Linked DNA regions of Macaca mulatta. The protein of the gene in region 1 purifies or fractionates together with the protein of each later gene. This does not show direct contact. Links are inferred from orthologs where the notes say so. Each region holds a gene or a part of one and is shown in the gene's direction. Other genes may lie near its edges.

Region 1 (7,928 bases):
TGGGTGGGGCAGGCTTGCCCTGTCACCTGTTTGGGTGCGTGTGTGAGAGACTGACTCAATGGAGGGACAGGCCCCGGCATGTCTCTGGGGTGGGGAAGGTGGGAGGCTTGTTCTTCATGGGTTCAGCTGGGCTGGGATGCCAGGGGCCTGGAGGCAGCACATCTCTGCAGGTTGGGGGGCCACATGGAGAAAGGAGACCTGGGGCTGTTGAGGTCCTGCAGCCCCACATGCACAGTCCTCGGGCAACCAGTCCTGTGGGAGTTCAGGACAGGAGGGGCCGGCCTGAGGGTAAGGGCAGTGTCCACACAAGGCCCTTCAAGATGTGGGTGCCTCAAGTCTGCAAACGCGGCCCAGTGTCCTCAGCAGGGCATCTGCCCCGTGACCATGACGTGCAGCAGCTGAAACTTACGACCTGGGGGAGCCAAGCACCTGGGAGGACCACAGTGTGTCCTCAGCCACCGGGCACTGGCACACAGGCTTCCCGTGGCATTGTCAATGTGGGCCACATGTGACGGGGCCGCCGCACACACGGCTTGTGTTCAACACCCTGAGACATCTTGGCATCCCGACCTGCTCCTTTGTCATCTCGGAGGATGGGGGCGTGGGGGTCCGGACTCCGCAGAAGTGGGGCGGCATAGCCTAACCCAGGCCCCACGTTTCTCCCTCCCTTGTCTCACCCCCACCCCCTGGTGAGCACCACATCCCTCAATTTGCCCAGAGTGAGACATTTACAAAAATAATAAAAATAGGCCAGGCACGGTGGGTCACGCCTATAATCCCAGCATTTTGGGAGGCCGAGGCAGGCAGATGACCTGAGGTCAGGAGTTTGAGACCAGACTGACCAACATGATGAAACCCCATCTCTACTAAAAATACAAAAATTAGCTGGGCGTGGTGAGGGGTGTCTGTAATCCCAGCTATTCAGGAGGCTGAAGCAAGGAGAATCGCTTGAACCCAGGAGGCGGAGGTTGCGGTGAGCTGAGGTCCTGCCATTGCACTCCAGCCTGGGTGACAGAGTGAGACTCTATCTCAAAAAACAAAAACAAAAACAAAAATTAGCTGGGCGTGGTGGTGGGCATCTGTAATCCCAGCTACTCAAAAGGCTGAGGCAAGAGAATCACTTGAACCTGAGAGAAGGAGGTTGCAGTGAGCCCGGATCACACCATTGTACCCCAGCCTAGGCAACAAGAGAAATTGGATTGTCTCTGAAGGGGAATTGGGCTTCCAGGAGCTGGGCTGTCCTGTTGACCCTGGGGCTGGAGGGGATACTTAATCGTTGTCTAGGTAGCTCAGGGAGCCCCTCTGGTATCCAAGTCACCCTGTCTTCAGCTGTTCACCTGAGTCTTCTGCTTCTGAATCTCACTCTTCACTCCCTCCCTCGAGCCTCACTGTGCCCCTCGCACACCTCACCAGCTTGCCCACCAAGTAGTTGCCTTGGCTCAGAGCCATGCTTTGGATGGGTAAGGGGTTGGCAGTGCAGGCCTCCACAACCTGTCCTCACACCCAAGCCTGCCTGGATTTCCCGCCTCCTGCACCTTGGCCTGCACAGGTGTGCAGGCTTGGCCTAGTCCCACCCTCGGTGCCTTGGAGGCACCGAGGCCCAAATCTGCCCAGTCCTGGGGCCACGCCAGGTGGCAGCCTTTACTGGACCCAGGGACCTGTCAGTGCGTCATGGCACTCTCTCCCCAACAGACCTCTCTGGCGGAGTTTTGCCCAACGACTTGCTGTAATTACGATGGAAATTAACCCATCTATCTTCCACTCCTTCTGAGGCTCCTCAGTTGGACTCTGTGCACCCAGCCTCCTCTGGGACCTCTGGAAAACCAGTCACCGCACCTGAGTGCAGTGCTGGGTGTGCTGTGTAGCCGGGAGTCAGAGACCCAAGGCATGGCAGGCATTTGGTCCTCAAGGTCATGGGGGACAGCAAGGGTATTTTAGAGGCCTGGGTGCCCCATATCATAGAACTCTAGACATAATTTTGCAGTCGTTTTCTCTCTCTCTTCCTTTTTTTTGAGATGGAGTCTTACTCTGCCGCCCAGGCTGGAGTGCAGTGGTGCGATCTCGGCTCACTGCAAGCTCCGCCTCCCAGGTTCACACCATTCTCCTGCCTCAGCCTCCCGAGTGGCTGGGACTACAGGCACCCGCCACCATGCCCGGCTAATTTTTTGTATTTTTTGTAGAGACAGGGTTTCACCGTGTTAGCCACGATGGTCTCGATCTTCTGACCTCGTGATCCGCCCGCCTTGGCCTCCCAAAGTGTTGGGATTACAGGCGTGAGCCCAGGAAGAGTGCGCCTGGCCCTCTCTTCCTCTTTCTTTTCCTCCCTCCCTCCTTTCTTTTTTTTAAATAAAAATGGGGTATCAGGCCGGACGTGCTGGCTTATGCCTATAATACCAGCACTTTGGGAGGCCGAGGTAGGCGGATCACGAGGTCAGGAGTTTGAAACCAGCCTGGCCAGCATGGTGAAACCCCGTTTCTACTAAAAATGCAAAAATTAGCCGGGCATGCTGGCACATGCCTGTAGTCCCAGCTACTTGGAAGGCTGAGGCAGTAGAATCGCTTGAACTCAGGAGGAGGAGGTTGTGGTGAGCTGATATCGCACCATTGCACGCCAGCCTGGGCGACACAGCGAGACTCACACACACACACGCACACACACAAAAAGATGGGGGTCTCACTATGTTGCCCAGGCTGGTCTCGAACTGCTAGGCTCAAGCGATCCTCCTGACTGCACCTCCCAAGGCGCCTGGATTACAGTGCGGGCCAGTGCGCCCGGGCTACTTCTGCAGCTTAAGCGCAGGTTCACTGACTCTTCCGAGAATACAGCTGACATATACGTTGCTGAAACGGTACTTGTTCACTACGGAAAGCACATTCCCCTACCAGAACATTCCTTGGGGCCGAGTCCCCAAATGTGACCCACTGCGTTCTGTGGAGGAGGAGCGCACCTTATTCCGTCCCCACAGCCAAATACTCGTGAACTTATCGTCAGTCTTCTATCTGGACCCTACGTGCGTTTTTCACAGTTGCGCGTGTGAGCAGGTTGTGTGTGAATTTCAGGAGGAACTGGGGCGGCGGCACAGCTCGTCCACCTTGAGAGGCGCGGGCGGCACGCGGGCTGCAGTTCAGAAGAGCCCACCCAGGGCGCGCTGCGACCCCGGCCTCCCGTGTCCCCGCCTCCTGCGAGGAGGAACGGGGTCCCCATCAGGCACTCCCCGGGCAGGGCAGAGGGCTCCACGCGCGGGCCAACCCCGGCGTCCGGGAAGATAACTCCTCGGGTCGACGCCCTAGTTGTCGCCGCGTCCCCGCCCCAGCTCCTCCCACACTAGAACTTCGAGGATGTCGCGGGCGGACCGTACTTCCCAGCATGCCCCGCGCCCACCGCCGCCGTCGAGGGGCGGGGCCTACGTGTCGGCGGCGAGGGGCGGGGCCGCGGCGCAGCGCGGGAAGTCCAGATCCCGCGGCGACCCGAGCATGAGCGTGGATCGCGAGTTTCGCCGTGAGTCCCTCGGGGGCCCCTTGCGCCGGGGGCGCGGAGGCTAGGGAGGGTCTGGGACTCGGCCCCGGCCCCGAATCCCGCCGCGGAGGCTCAGCTCTCCTCTTCCTCCGACAGAGCTGAGCAAGGCGAAGGCCAAGGCGCAGAGGGCCGGGCAGCGGCGCGAGGAGGCAGCGCTGTGCCACCAGCTGGGGGAGCTCCTGGCCGGCCATGGTGAGCGCTGGGACCAGGAAGCGGGGTGCACGGCCGGGGGCTGGGGGCTGGGGGCTGGGGCCCGCGCCGGGGTCGGGGGCCGGGGGTCGACGGGCTCTTCCCGCAGACGCCGCCCCAGGTCCGCCCTCGCACCCGCGACGCCTGCCAGGCCGTGCTGTGTCCCCGCCTAGGCCGCTACGCCGAAGCCCTGGAGCAGCACTGGCAGGAGCTGCGGCTCCGGGAGAGCGCTGACGACCCCCTGGGCTGTGCCGTGGCCCATCGCAAGATCGGAGAGCGCCTGGCCGAGATGGAGGACTACCCGACTGCCTTGCAGGTGCGGGCGCCCTCACTGGCCTCGCCCAGCCCGGTCGGCCTCTGTTTGGAGCCCTTTTCTGAGGAGGGAGGCCCGGTCTTCACCGTCAGGAGCCTCGGGCTGGAAGGGACACCTGGCCTGACGCAGCCTTAACTTCACCGCGCCGGCCCAGTCCTCCAGTGGGGACCCCCCAGCCTTTCCTGGGACTGGGGCAGGAGTAGGTTTCCTGGCACCAGAAACCATTAATGAATGTTATTTTAGCTGTGTTTGTGTTGGGGGTGGTCAGGCCCCAGCCCGAAAGCTCTCCCTGACCCTGGCTGCTGGAGGCAGGACTGCAAACCCCCACCCCACCAATCCCCAGCCGCCCCTCCCCACGTGACAGCGTTGGCTGCATACAGCGTGAAGCCACTGTCACCACAGAGAGGCCTTGGCATGCAGAGGAGGGGCATGTGGCCGACCTTGGCCTGCTCTGTGGGGGTTAAGGGGAGCAGGAGTCTTTCCTTAGCAAGAACAGGGTCTCTGGGAATCTGGCAGCGCTGGTTTGCTTGAGGCGGGGTCAGCTCACAGCAGTGACTTCCTTCCACACTCAGCACCAGCACCACTACCTGGAGCTAGCACATTCCCTGCGCAACCACACGGAGCTGCAGAGGGCCTGGGCCACCATCGGCCGCACCCACCTGGACATCTATGACCACTGCCAGTCGAGGGATGCTCTGCTGCAGGCACAGGCTGCCTTTGAGAAGAGCTTGGCTATTGTGGATGAGGAGCTGGAGGGTGGGCAGGCCCCTTCTCGTTTTCTGCCTCCTGAACTGCAGGCTGAAGAGGCTGCAGCCCAGCACCCCCGCAGCCTCCTTGGGCGATCTCGTCTTCTGGGGCCCTCCCTTTGCAGGGCTCTTGTGTGAGGGGTGCATGCCCTCCGCAACCTTTTCCCTGGAGATCCTCGGCTCTTTATCCACTCTGTGCTCTGTCTGCAGCAGGACCCTTGCCCCAACATCGGGAGGAGGGAGAGGGTAGGAGAGGCACTGCACAGGCCCCAAATGGGGCCCAAAGCTGGAAACCCCATGTGGGGAGAAAGTGGCTGAGTGGGGGGCATCTTCCAGGGACACTGGCTCAGGGAGAGCTGAATGAGATGAGGACCCGCCTCTACCTCAACCTGGGTCTTACCTTTGAGAGCCTGCAGCAGACAGCCCTGTGCAACGATTACTTCAGGAAGAGCATCTTCCTTGCGGAGTAAGGCCCCACCCCACCCCAGGAGAGAGTGGAGTCCCTTGTTCCTGGAGGAAGTAGTTAGGGGAGTATTTCTCCCAGGGTCCTCCTGAGAGAGCACCCTGGCTGGGCCTCATCCCCCACCTCTCACACCTGTGCCTCACACTGGGCGAAGACCAGGCATGGTTAGGGCCCTGAGACCATAGCATGGCAGGGCTGGGGCCTGTGTGGCATCAGCAGCTATCACCGGTGGGACGCTCCTGGGTGCTCAGGAGCTCGTAGGTGCTCAGGCCATCACTCCTCTGCAGGCAGAACCACCTTTACGAGGACCTGTTCCGCGCCCGCTACAACCTGGGCACCGTCCACTGGCGCGCGGGCCAGCACTCCCAGGCTATGCGCTGCTTGGAGGGTGCCCGGGAGTGTGCGCACACCATGAGGAAGCGGTTCATGGAGAGCGAGTGCTGCGTGGCCATCGCACAGGTACCCGCTGTGTGTGGTTCCGAGCTCAGGCTCCTGGAGACTTGGGCCTTGGGGATTTTGCAAAAACCGTGCTGTCCTTTGCTCTCCAGGTCCTCCAAGACCTGGGAGACTTTCTGGCTGCCAAGCGAGCCCTGAAGAAGGCCTACAGGCTGGGCTCCCAGAAGCCTGTGCAGAGAGCAGCCGTCTGTCAGAACCTCCAGCATGGTGAGCCTGGGGCCGGGGTGGGGCCCAGGGGGTGTGGGGTGGGGGGGGGTGAGGGGGGTGAACCTCCCGCATGGTGAGCCTGGGGCCAGGGTGGGGCCCCGGGAGTTGTGTGCAGGGGCGAGCCCAGGGGGGCGTGGAGTCCTGCCAGGTGTGTACGGAGCTCCCTCCCTCACAGAGGAGGCATGAGCACCTGTCCTTGGAGGCAGCAGCTTCCGCAAGAGGGACAGGTGCCCTAGTTCCTGACAGGAGAAAACCCCCGTTTTTCTCTGAGCTCAACACAGTGTGTCAGGGGCACTGAAAGGGCGGCCAGGAGACCAGTTGGGCTTTTATTTTGCAGCCACCATCTTCACTGGCAAACTGGAGACAGTAGTTGCTCCCCTAGCTTCCCGGGTGGAACAGCAGGTGGCACGCATGTGGTCCAGGAGTGCTGATGGCCGAGACCACCACTGGAGGTTGGCAGCAGTCAGCCCTTGCTATGAGCCAGGCACCATCCAAGTTTTTTTTTTTTTTTTTTTTTGAGACGGAGTCTCGCTCTGTCGCCCAGGCTGGAGTGCGGTGGCACTATCTCGGTTCACTGCAAGCTCCGCCTCCCAGGTTCACGCCATTCTCCTGCCTCAGCCTCCCGAGTAGCTGGGACTACAGGCGCCCGCCACCATGCCCGGCTAATTTTTTTGTATTTTTAGTAGAGACGGGGTTTCACTGTATTAGCCAGGATGGTCTTGCTCTCCTGATCTCATGATCTGCCTGCCTCAGCCTCCCAAAGACCTAGGATTACAGGCGTGAGCCACTGTGCCTGGCCCCAAGTTTTTAAGTGTGTTAGTTCTTGTGACCCTTGAGACCAGTTCCCAAGATAGACCCTCCTGTTAACCCCCACATAAACAGGCAGGCAGAGGGAGAGGGTAGAGGGGCCACGACAGGGCTCAGCAGCAACAGCTGGAAGAGGCCGAGGAGCCTGTCCGTGAGGCCTGTTGGGGGATGTTCCAGGGAAGGCTGTGACTTCAGCTCTGAACTCAAGGGGGTTGTTAGAACCCCGAGTGGCCAGATGGTAGAGCTGGGGTCAGGGCCTCCTGTGTTGCCCTCCTGCATGAACCTCTTCTTGGCAGTGCTGGCAGTGGTCCGACTGCAGCAACAGCTGGAAGATGCCGAGGGAAGTGACCCTCAGGGCGCCATGGCCATCTGTGAGCAGCTAGGTGACCTCTTCTCCAAGGCAGGAGACTTTCCCAGGGCAGCTGAGGCTTACCAGAAGCAGGTGTGTGGCCCCGGCTGGGTGGGAGGGCCAGTGAGGTTGGCGAGGCCTGGCCAGGGTGGCAGCCCCCAGCCTCACTGGCACTGCCCCCAGCTACGTTTCGCTGAGCTGCTGGACAGACCGGGTGCCGAGCGGGCCATCATCCACGTGTCCCTGGCCGCCACACTGGGAGACATGAAGGACCACCGTGGGGCCGTGCGCCACTATGAGGAGGAGCTGAGGCTGCGCAGCGGCAATATGCTGGAGGTGAAACCCTGGCTCCCCACCCGAATGCAGGTTCACCCATGTCTCTGCCTCAGGACTGCCGTTCTCAGGGTGGCCATGTACAGACGTCCTTACTGGACAGGCAGCTCCTTCCTAGGACCGTCCACCCTCAGCACCTGGGAGGCTGGGCTCCCATTCTGTGTGGGCAGCCGGGGACGCTTGACTGGGGCCTGTTGGACACGGAGAGCAGCAGCCCTCGACCCCGTCCTTCCTCCTGCTCCAGGAGGCCAAGACCTGGCTGAATATCGCACTGTCCCGTGAAGAGGCTGGCGATGCCTACGAACTGCTGGCCCCATGCTTCCAGAAGGCGCTCAGCTGTGCCCAGCAGGCCCAGCGGCCCCAGCTGCAGGTACAAGAGCCCGTCCCACCCACACTGGCTCCCCAACAAGCCCAGCATCGTTGCAGCCTGCCTGCTCCTTGTCCCACATCCCCATCTTTCTCTGCATCCACAGCCCCCAGCTCTGCTTGCCACACCCCCAGTCCTGAGCCAAGCATCCCTCTGCTCCTCAGAGGCAGGTCTTGCAGCA
Region 2 (7,784 bases), on another chromosome or scaffold:
TGAGGTGGGAGGATCACTTGAGCCCAAGAGTTCCAAGTTACAGTGAGCCATGATCATGCCACTTCACTCCAGCCTGGGAAACAGAGCTCTGTTTAAAAAAAAAAAAAAAAATCCCACAGGAACTGGATTGTTTCCAGAGGTGACTAGGTAAGAAATACTAGTGCCTTTGATCAGTGCTATTCAGGCTTACGGCCTGTGATTTTGAACACTGTCCAGGGCACCCTTAGAAAGCCCTCTCTGGGGAGAGGACATTTGAACAGAGACTTGAATGACGAGAAGGCATAAGCCAGCCAAGAGCCCAGAAGAAGAGGTTCTGGGCAGAGCTTTGCACTGGGAGTGGCCTGTCAGATTTTTAACAAAAAGAGGGTTACTTAGGCTGGTTTGAAATTGGAGCTAGGTAGTTAAGAGGAGACAAAGCATAGTTTCGAAGACAATGCTCTCATCCTGAGAAGTGACCTGGTCAAATGTGTTTTTGACCTTCACTGTCCAGTAATACAGGAGCCACTTGTCACAGGGGTTCAGGAGCACTCAACTGTGGCTATCAAGACACCTAAACTGAACTTTCTTTTCTAAAATTTAATTTAATTTTTTTTTTTTTTTTTTTTTTGAGACGGAGTCTTGCTCTGCCGCCCAGGCTGGAGTGCAGTGGCCGGATCTTAGCTCACTGCAAGCTCCGCCTCCCGGGTTCACGCAATTCTCCTGCCTCAGCCTCCCGAGTAGCTGGGACTACAGGCGCCCGCCACCGCGCCCGGCTAGTTTTTTGTATATTTTAGTAGAGACGGGGTTTCACCATGTTAGCCAGGATGGTCTCGATCTCCTGACCTCGTGATCCGCCCGTCTCGGCCTCCCAAAGTGCTGGGATTACAGGCTTGAGCCACCGCGCCCGGCCTAAAATTTAATTTTAATTTTGAGAGACAGGATCTCACTCTGACACTCAGGCTGGAGTGCAGTGGCTGGAGCATCCTGGGCTCAAGAGATCCTCCTGCCTCAGCTTCAGGAGTAGCAGAGACTACAGGTATGCACTACCACACCTGGCTTATTCTTTTATATTTTTGTAAATATGAGGTCTTGTTATGTTGCCCAGGCTGATCTTGAACTCCTGGCCTCAAGAAATCCTCCATGCCCAGCCTCTAAAATTTAATTTTTTTAAAAAAAAGTAAATCTTGGCCGGGCGCGGTGGCTCAAGCCTGTAATCCCAGCACTTTGGGAGGCTGAGACGGGCGGATCACGAGGTCAGGAGATCGAGACCATCCTGGCTAACACGGTGAAACCCCGTCTCTACTAAAAAATACAAAAAAAAAAAAACTAGGCCGGGCGTGGTGGCTCACGCCTGTAATCCCAGCACTTTGGGAGGCCGAGGTGGGCAGATCACAAGGTCAGGAGATCGAGACCATGGTGAAACCCCGTCTCTACTAAAAATAGAAAAAATTAGCCGGGCGCAGGGGCGGGCGCCTGTAGTCCCAGCTACTCGGGAGGCTGAGGCAGGAGAATGGCGTAAACCCGGGAGGCGGAACTTGCAGTGAGCTGAGATCCGGCCACTGCACTCCAGCCCGGGCGACAGAGCGAGACTCCGTCTCAAAAAAAAAAAAAAAAAAGTAAATCTTAAATTAAAAAAAAAAAGATATGGCTGGGTACAGTGGCTCATGCCTGTAAACCCAGCACTCTGGAAGATCAAGGCGGGCGGATCACTTGAGATCAGGCGTTTGAGACCAGCCTGGCCAACAAGGTGAAACCCGGTCTCTACTAAAAATACAGAAAAAAATTTAGCTGGTTGTGGTGGTGGTCACCTGTAATCCCAGATACTCAGGAGGCTGAGGCAGGAGAATCGCTTGAACCCGGGAGGTGGAGGTTGCAGTGAGCCGAGATCGCGCTATTGCACTCCAGCCTGGGTGACAGAGCGAGATTCCGTCTCAAAGAAAAAAAAAGTGGTTTCCAAAAAATGTAAAATTAGGTGCGCGGCTGGCATTATTTTTCCACTGGGTAGAGCTGATCGCCCGTGGGGGCAGAGACTCTGCGACCTGGAGTCTCCCAGGCCGGGGGCGACGGGATGCGGCGGAGAGAAGTTTCCGGATGTATTGTGCGGTCATGAATCATGTCAGGGAATTGCCACTGCCCCCGTTGAATGGAGAGACGCTGCCTCAGGAGCTGAGTAGCAGAGCCCGGACTCGAACACTGGTCTGCCCCCGAACTGAAACTCCCATTTTCAGTACCGTCTGCTTGAAACCTTCCAAGAGCCCTTGAGGGGGCGAGAGCGGGATCCAAACCCCTCGGGGGCGAGAGCGGGATTCGAACCCCTCGTGGGCGAAAGCGGGATCCGAACCGGGCTGGACTCCCGAGGTCCCAGCGCGCCGCGTGACCGCCACTCCGAACGTTCGCAACGTTCACAACGGACTCCAGGGCCGCTGGACCTCAAGGGTCAGGAGCCACTCAGAAAAGCTCCAGACTACGCTCACCTGTTGACAGACGCTGAGGGCGCAACCCTCCTCCTCTTTTTTCACACTCGCCAGCACCGCGGCGGCGCTCGACTTCCGCTTCTCTCCAGCGAATCCCCAGCTGAGCCTCATTCTGCTCCCGGCACTATTACCAATCCAGCCAATCAACTCTCAGAAAACCCTCTTTATCTCCGCCCCACTCCCTCCTGCCAATCACTGAGGGTGCGAGCACCGCCCTTCCCGCCTTCTTTAGCGAGCGCCGCGCGCCACCGCTCGGCGGTTGGCGGCGCTGCGCGGTGCGGGATGCAGCTCCCGGAAAAGCGAGGCGAGGGGCGGGCTACGCCGGTGCGGGAACCCTCAGGATTGGGCAGAAGGAGTCCGGCGCTCTGACTCCGTCCACTCCCGCCGTTGACATCCGAGTCGGAGACGCTGGGGATTGGTTCCCAGCGGACACGCTAAGAAGCCTGGAGATGGTTTCGCCCTCCTCACACGCCGCGGAGAGGGAGCTCCGCTGATTGGTCCGGGGAGTCTGGGCGCGCGCCGACTGGCGCTCCAGGATTGGCTGAGGGGGTGCGCGCGCCGCCAGGGGAGCGTTGGCGGTGATTGGCCAGAGGGCGGAGGCCGGCTATTTGAAGGCGGTCCGCGGTTTAGGTGCGCACTTCAGTCCGCGGAGGGAAGAGGCGGGAGTGGACTTGGTCTGCCGTACCCCACTGACGCCCCCCCACTCACCGGACCCAGGCGCGGCCTCCGCCACAGCCACAGCCCTGCCCCTGCCCCTGCCCCTGCTGCGGCGCGGCGCGGCGCGGCGAGGCGAGGCGAGGCGAGGCGATGGCCAAGGTGTCGGTGCTGAACGTGGCGGTCCTGGAGAACCCGAGCCCTTTCCACAGCCCCTTCCGGTTCGAGATCAGCTTCGAGTGCAGTGAAGCCCTGGCGGACGGTGAGGCTGGGCCCGTGCGGGGACCCCCACCCCCGGGCCGACCCCGGCCTCCCCTTGGAGAAGCGCTCCCATGGCCAACTTGATCTCCCCCATGAAACCCCTCGTCCCCTTTCCGCCAATCCCGATCTCCGGGTGGAGACTCCCCGCCATCAGCCAACTCGGACCTCCCCGTGACCTCCTCTCCCACTGCCCGCCTTGACCTCCCGGGTGGAGACCCCCAGCTAGCTAACTCGGACCTCCCCGTGACCTCTTCCCCCACTGCCCGCCCCGACCTCCCCATAAAGATTAACCCCAGTCAAGCCCCACTTCCCGCGTGGGAAACCTCATCCATCTTTTTAATCTGGAGGTCTTCCTAGGTACCCGTTTTCATGGAGAGATCTTCTTGGCCTCCATTTCTTAAGCCACGGAGATCTTCAGCCACCGTGATTTCCCTGTGGCAAGACCCGCGCTTTAGCCACCCACCCATTTTTGCCCACTTATTCCCTCTTTAGTGAGATACTCACACCTCCCATTTTCCCTCTGGAGACTCCGAATGTCCAGCCCCTTCCCATTTTCCCCGGGGGAAATCCTAGCCATCTGCTATTTTCCCTATGGAGATCTCTCACGCAAGCTCCTTTCCCTCCTCACCGTGAAGACGCTCCCCACCAGTAACCGTTTTTCGCTGTGAAAACCCCTCAACCCCTTTTCAGGACCGCCCTCGCCCCCATCTTCCCATTTGTCTCCCACCAATCCCCTCCCCAACCTGCCAATATTTCAACAACCCCACCCGCACCAGTTGCTGTTGCTTTTCTGCCATTGCACATACCCTGGAACCTGGTTCCTCCTTCGTTGGGGCCCAACCCCTGCTATGCTTGAGCTCCCCCTGGGAAAGGATGCTACCGTCTTTGAGGGGAACTTGGTCTCCCCAGCTCCCCTTCCCCACCCTCTTCTGTGGACTTGGATAAACACACTGAGATCTGAGGGCTGGCATAGCCAGGCAGGTATTAGCTGCTTCTCCAGGTTTGCCCACCCATTTCCAACTGAGTTACTACAGCAGTTCTTCCCTCGCTTTTTCTTTCTTCTTTTTTTTCTTTTTTCTTTTTTTTTTTTTTTGAGACAGACTCTTGCTCTGTTGCCCAGGCTGAAATGCAGTGGCACGATCTCAGCAATTCTCCTGCCTCAGCCTCCCGAGTAGCTGGGACTACCAGCACCTGTCACCATGCCCGGTTAATTTTAGTATTTTTAGTTGGAGGCAGGGTTTCACCACATTAGCCAGGCTGGTCTCGAAGTCCTGATCTCAAGTGATCCACCCACCTTGGTTTCCCAAAGTGCTGGGATTACAGGCGTGAGCCACCGCGCCCGGTCTTTTTTTTTTTTCTTTTTTTTTTTTAATATAGCTGGATAATCAGTGCCAAGCTTCCATTGCTTTTGATGGTCTGACCTAGTCTGGAGGGTGAGTGGGTTGGGCTGAGCTGTGACAGGCTCCAGCTTCAAACAGTCACCTGGAGCCCGGAGGTCACAGCCTCCTGTACATCTTTTCCAAGGTGCTTCTGCAGATGTACTTGTTAATCTGTGTGACTTAAAGGTGGACATGGCTCTCATCTCACAGATGAGAAGACAGGAGCCACAAAGCGCAAAAGACCTTTCAAGTCAAGGCCTGTACAAATCCAAAATCTAAGGTCACCCAGGGAGCCTTGGCACCACTAAAATGCAAGTCCTGCTTTCAGAAAGAAGTACTCCATTAGGCCATTTTTCTACTTGGTGGTTAAAAGAGAAAAGGCAGTAGCCGAGGAGGTAGCGATCTGGGGGCCTGTGAAGCCAGGATGTGCTAACTAGTGCCTTTCGGGGGCAGGTGGGTGTTTGGCCCTCAAAGCTGGTCACCTGGACTAGCTTGGGGCTGATAGAGTGAGATGTGGATGTGCTTCGGGTAGGCCAGTGGGTCTCTCTCTCCCCGGTCTGTCTTGCTCCTTTTTAAATTAAGCAGTCTACTTGTGGCTAACTATAGAATAAGCCGAGTTAAATCCTTTCTGGAACAGGGCAGCGTGTAAATAAATAAATAAAGTGTAGAATGACACTGTGGAATAAGATTTAATTTAAAAGCCAGGAGGAAATGGAAGGAAGTAATAGGTTGAGGGATTCCCAGCTCCCAGGCGGCAGGAGATCAGGTTTCAATCAGCCTGTTTGTGTTCCTTGCATTTAAAAATGGTTGTGTGGTCATTATCTGGTACTTCTCCTAGGAAGCCCCTGCCCTGTGACTTTACTTATTTATAGAATTAGAGGCAGAAAGGCTAAATTCAACCTGCTGCTCCTTTTTTTGTTTTTTTGGAGACGAAGTCTCACTCTCGTCCCCCAGGCTGGAGTGCAGTGGCGCAACCTCCGCCTCCCGGGTTCAAGCAATTCTCCTGCCTCAGCCTCCCGAGTAGCTGGGATTACAGGTGCCTGCTATGACGCCCAGCTAATTTTTGTGTTTTTGGTAGAGATGCGGTTTCACCATGTTAGCCAGGCTGGTCTCGAACTCCTGACCTCAGGTGATCTGCCCGCCTCAGCCCCCCAAAATGCTGGGATTACAGGTATGAGCCACCGTGCCCAGCCTCTGCTGGTCATCTTTTAATAGAAATGGAGTGATTTATCCAGGGTCACCCAGCCAGTTTGTAGAAATATTGGCACTGAAGTTTTGAATCTAAGTTCTTTATCTTTGCTCCGATCCAGGGAAAGAAAGGAAGAAGGATTCCCTATTTCAGAGGTGGAGCATAGATAGGAATGACCATACAATTTATTGCCTAATCAGGATACTCAAAACACAGTAAAGGGGAATGCTATTATTATTATTATTATTTTATTTTATTTATTTTTTGAAATGGAGTTTCACTCTGTCACCCAGGCTAGAGTACAGTGGCGCGATCTCAGCTCACTGCAATCTCCACCTCTTGAGTTCAAGCGATTCTGTGGTCTCAGTCTCCCAAGTAGCTGGGATTACAAGCTTGAGCCACCATGCCCGGCTAATTTTTGTATTTTTAGTAGAGATGAGGTTTCACCATGTTGGCCAGGTTGATCTCAAACCTGACCGAAAGTGATCTGCCCGCCTCAGCCTCCCAAAGTGCTGGGATTACACTTTGAATCACAAGCACGCGGCCAGGGAATGCTATTGTTAATTGCACCCGGATGATAAAGCTTTTCCTTCAAGAAACTCAAGTGAGAAATCCTGGCTCTTCCAGTCCTAGGGCTCTCTGTGACTGATCTGCCAGCTTGCTTTCTGCCTCTTTCTGGCCTCCTCTCCATGAAAAAGAGAATCTGGCTCACTCTCAGCAGTGTCAACTGAAAATCTTGACAAAACCCCCAATCCAGCTGTGCGAGGTGGCTCATTCCTGTAATCCCAGCACTTTGGGAGGCTAAGGAAGAAGGCTCTCTTGAGCCCAGGAGTTTTAGGCCAGCCTGGGTAACATAGCAAAACGTTGTCTCTACAGAAACATCAAAAAATTAATGGGACTTGGTTGCATGTGCCTGTGGTCCCAGCTACTGAGGAGGCTGAAATGGGAGGATTGTATGAGCCCAGGAGGTCAAGGCTGCAGTAAGCCGTAAGCCATGGTTGCACCACTGTACTCCAGCCTGGGTGAGAGAGCAAGACCCCATCTCAAAAAAAAAAAAAAAAAAACCACCCTAACTCCTAAGCCCCAGTTGAGTGACTCCTATTTCTCAAGGGCCTCAAGCCCCCTTTGCACTTTTATCTTCCACATCTGGAAATAGATGCTTCCATGTTTAGCTGAGAAATTCAACAGACACTGGTTGAGTAAGTCATAGAAGCCAGATGTTCTGACCCAGAACTAACAAAGCTGTTATGGCAGCAGGACTGATCTTTGATTATGAACAAAGGCAAAAAAAAAAAAAAAAAAAAAACAGGCTGGGCACGGTGGCTCACGCCTATAATCCCAGCATTCTGGGAGACCAAGGCAGGTGGATCACCTGAGGTCAGAAGTTCAAGACCAGCCCAGCCAACATGGTGAAACCCCATCTCTACTAAAAATACAAAAGTTAGCCAGGCTTGGTGGTGGGCGCCTATAATCTCAGCTACTCGGGAGGCTGAGGCAGAAGAATTGCTTGAACCTGGGAGGCAGAGGTTGCAGTGAGCTGAGGTTGTGCCACTGCACTCCAGCCTGGGTGACAGAGCAAGACTCTGTCTCAAAAAACAACAACAGGCCAGGCACAGTGGCTCACGCCTGTGATCCCAGCATTTTGGGAGATCAAGGCAGGCGGATCATCTGAGGTCAGGAGTTTGAGCCCAGCCTGGCCAATGTGGTGAAAACCTGCCTCTACTAAAAATACAAAAGTTACCTGGGAAGGGTGGTAGGCGCCTGTAATCCCAGCTACTTAGGAGGCTGAGGCAGGAGAACCGCTTGAACCCGGGAGGTGGAAATTGCAGTGAGCCCAGATTGCGCCAT

The links.
Region 2: the proteins of TONSL (region 1) and ASF1B purify together in Homo sapiens (affinity purification with mass spectrometry; 5 studies listed by BioGRID and IntAct, counting the BioPlex papers as one, with this or other methods). This does not show direct contact. The link is inferred for Macaca mulatta from reciprocal best matches to the Homo sapiens genes TONSL and ASF1B.

What each region holds. Positions count from the first base shown.
Region 1 is NC_133413.1:154,862,933-154,870,860, reverse strand, and holds the start of TONSL (tonsoku-like protein), read left to right. Parts: upstream 1-3,357; 5' UTR 3,358-3,474; coding exon 3,475-3,499; intron 3,500-3,613; coding exon 3,614-3,709; intron 3,710-3,879; coding exon 3,880-4,022; intron 4,023-4,591; coding exon 4,592-4,775; intron 4,776-5,101; coding exon 5,102-5,231; intron 5,232-5,515; coding exon 5,516-5,687; intron 5,688-5,776; coding exon 5,777-5,891; intron 5,892-6,994; coding exon 6,995-7,140; intron 7,141-7,230; coding exon 7,231-7,383; intron 7,384-7,624; coding exon 7,625-7,750; intron 7,751-7,911; coding exon 7,912-7,928. UniProt on the Homo sapiens protein: Component of the MMS22L-TONSL complex, a complex that promotes homologous recombination-mediated repair of double-strand breaks (DSBs) at stalled or collapsed replication forks.
Region 2 is NC_133424.1:14,719,543-14,727,326, reverse strand, and holds the start of ASF1B (histone chaperone ASF1B), read left to right. Parts: upstream 1-2,647; 5' UTR 2,648-3,260; coding exon 3,261-3,369; exon of another isoform or gene 3,370-3,469; intron 3,470-4,712; exon of another isoform or gene 4,713-5,707; intron 5,708-6,948; exon of another isoform or gene 6,949-7,246; intron 7,247-7,784. UniProt on the Homo sapiens protein: Histone chaperone that facilitates histone deposition and histone exchange and removal during nucleosome assembly and disassembly. Cooperates with chromatin assembly factor 1 (CAF-1) to promote replication-dependent chromatin assembly.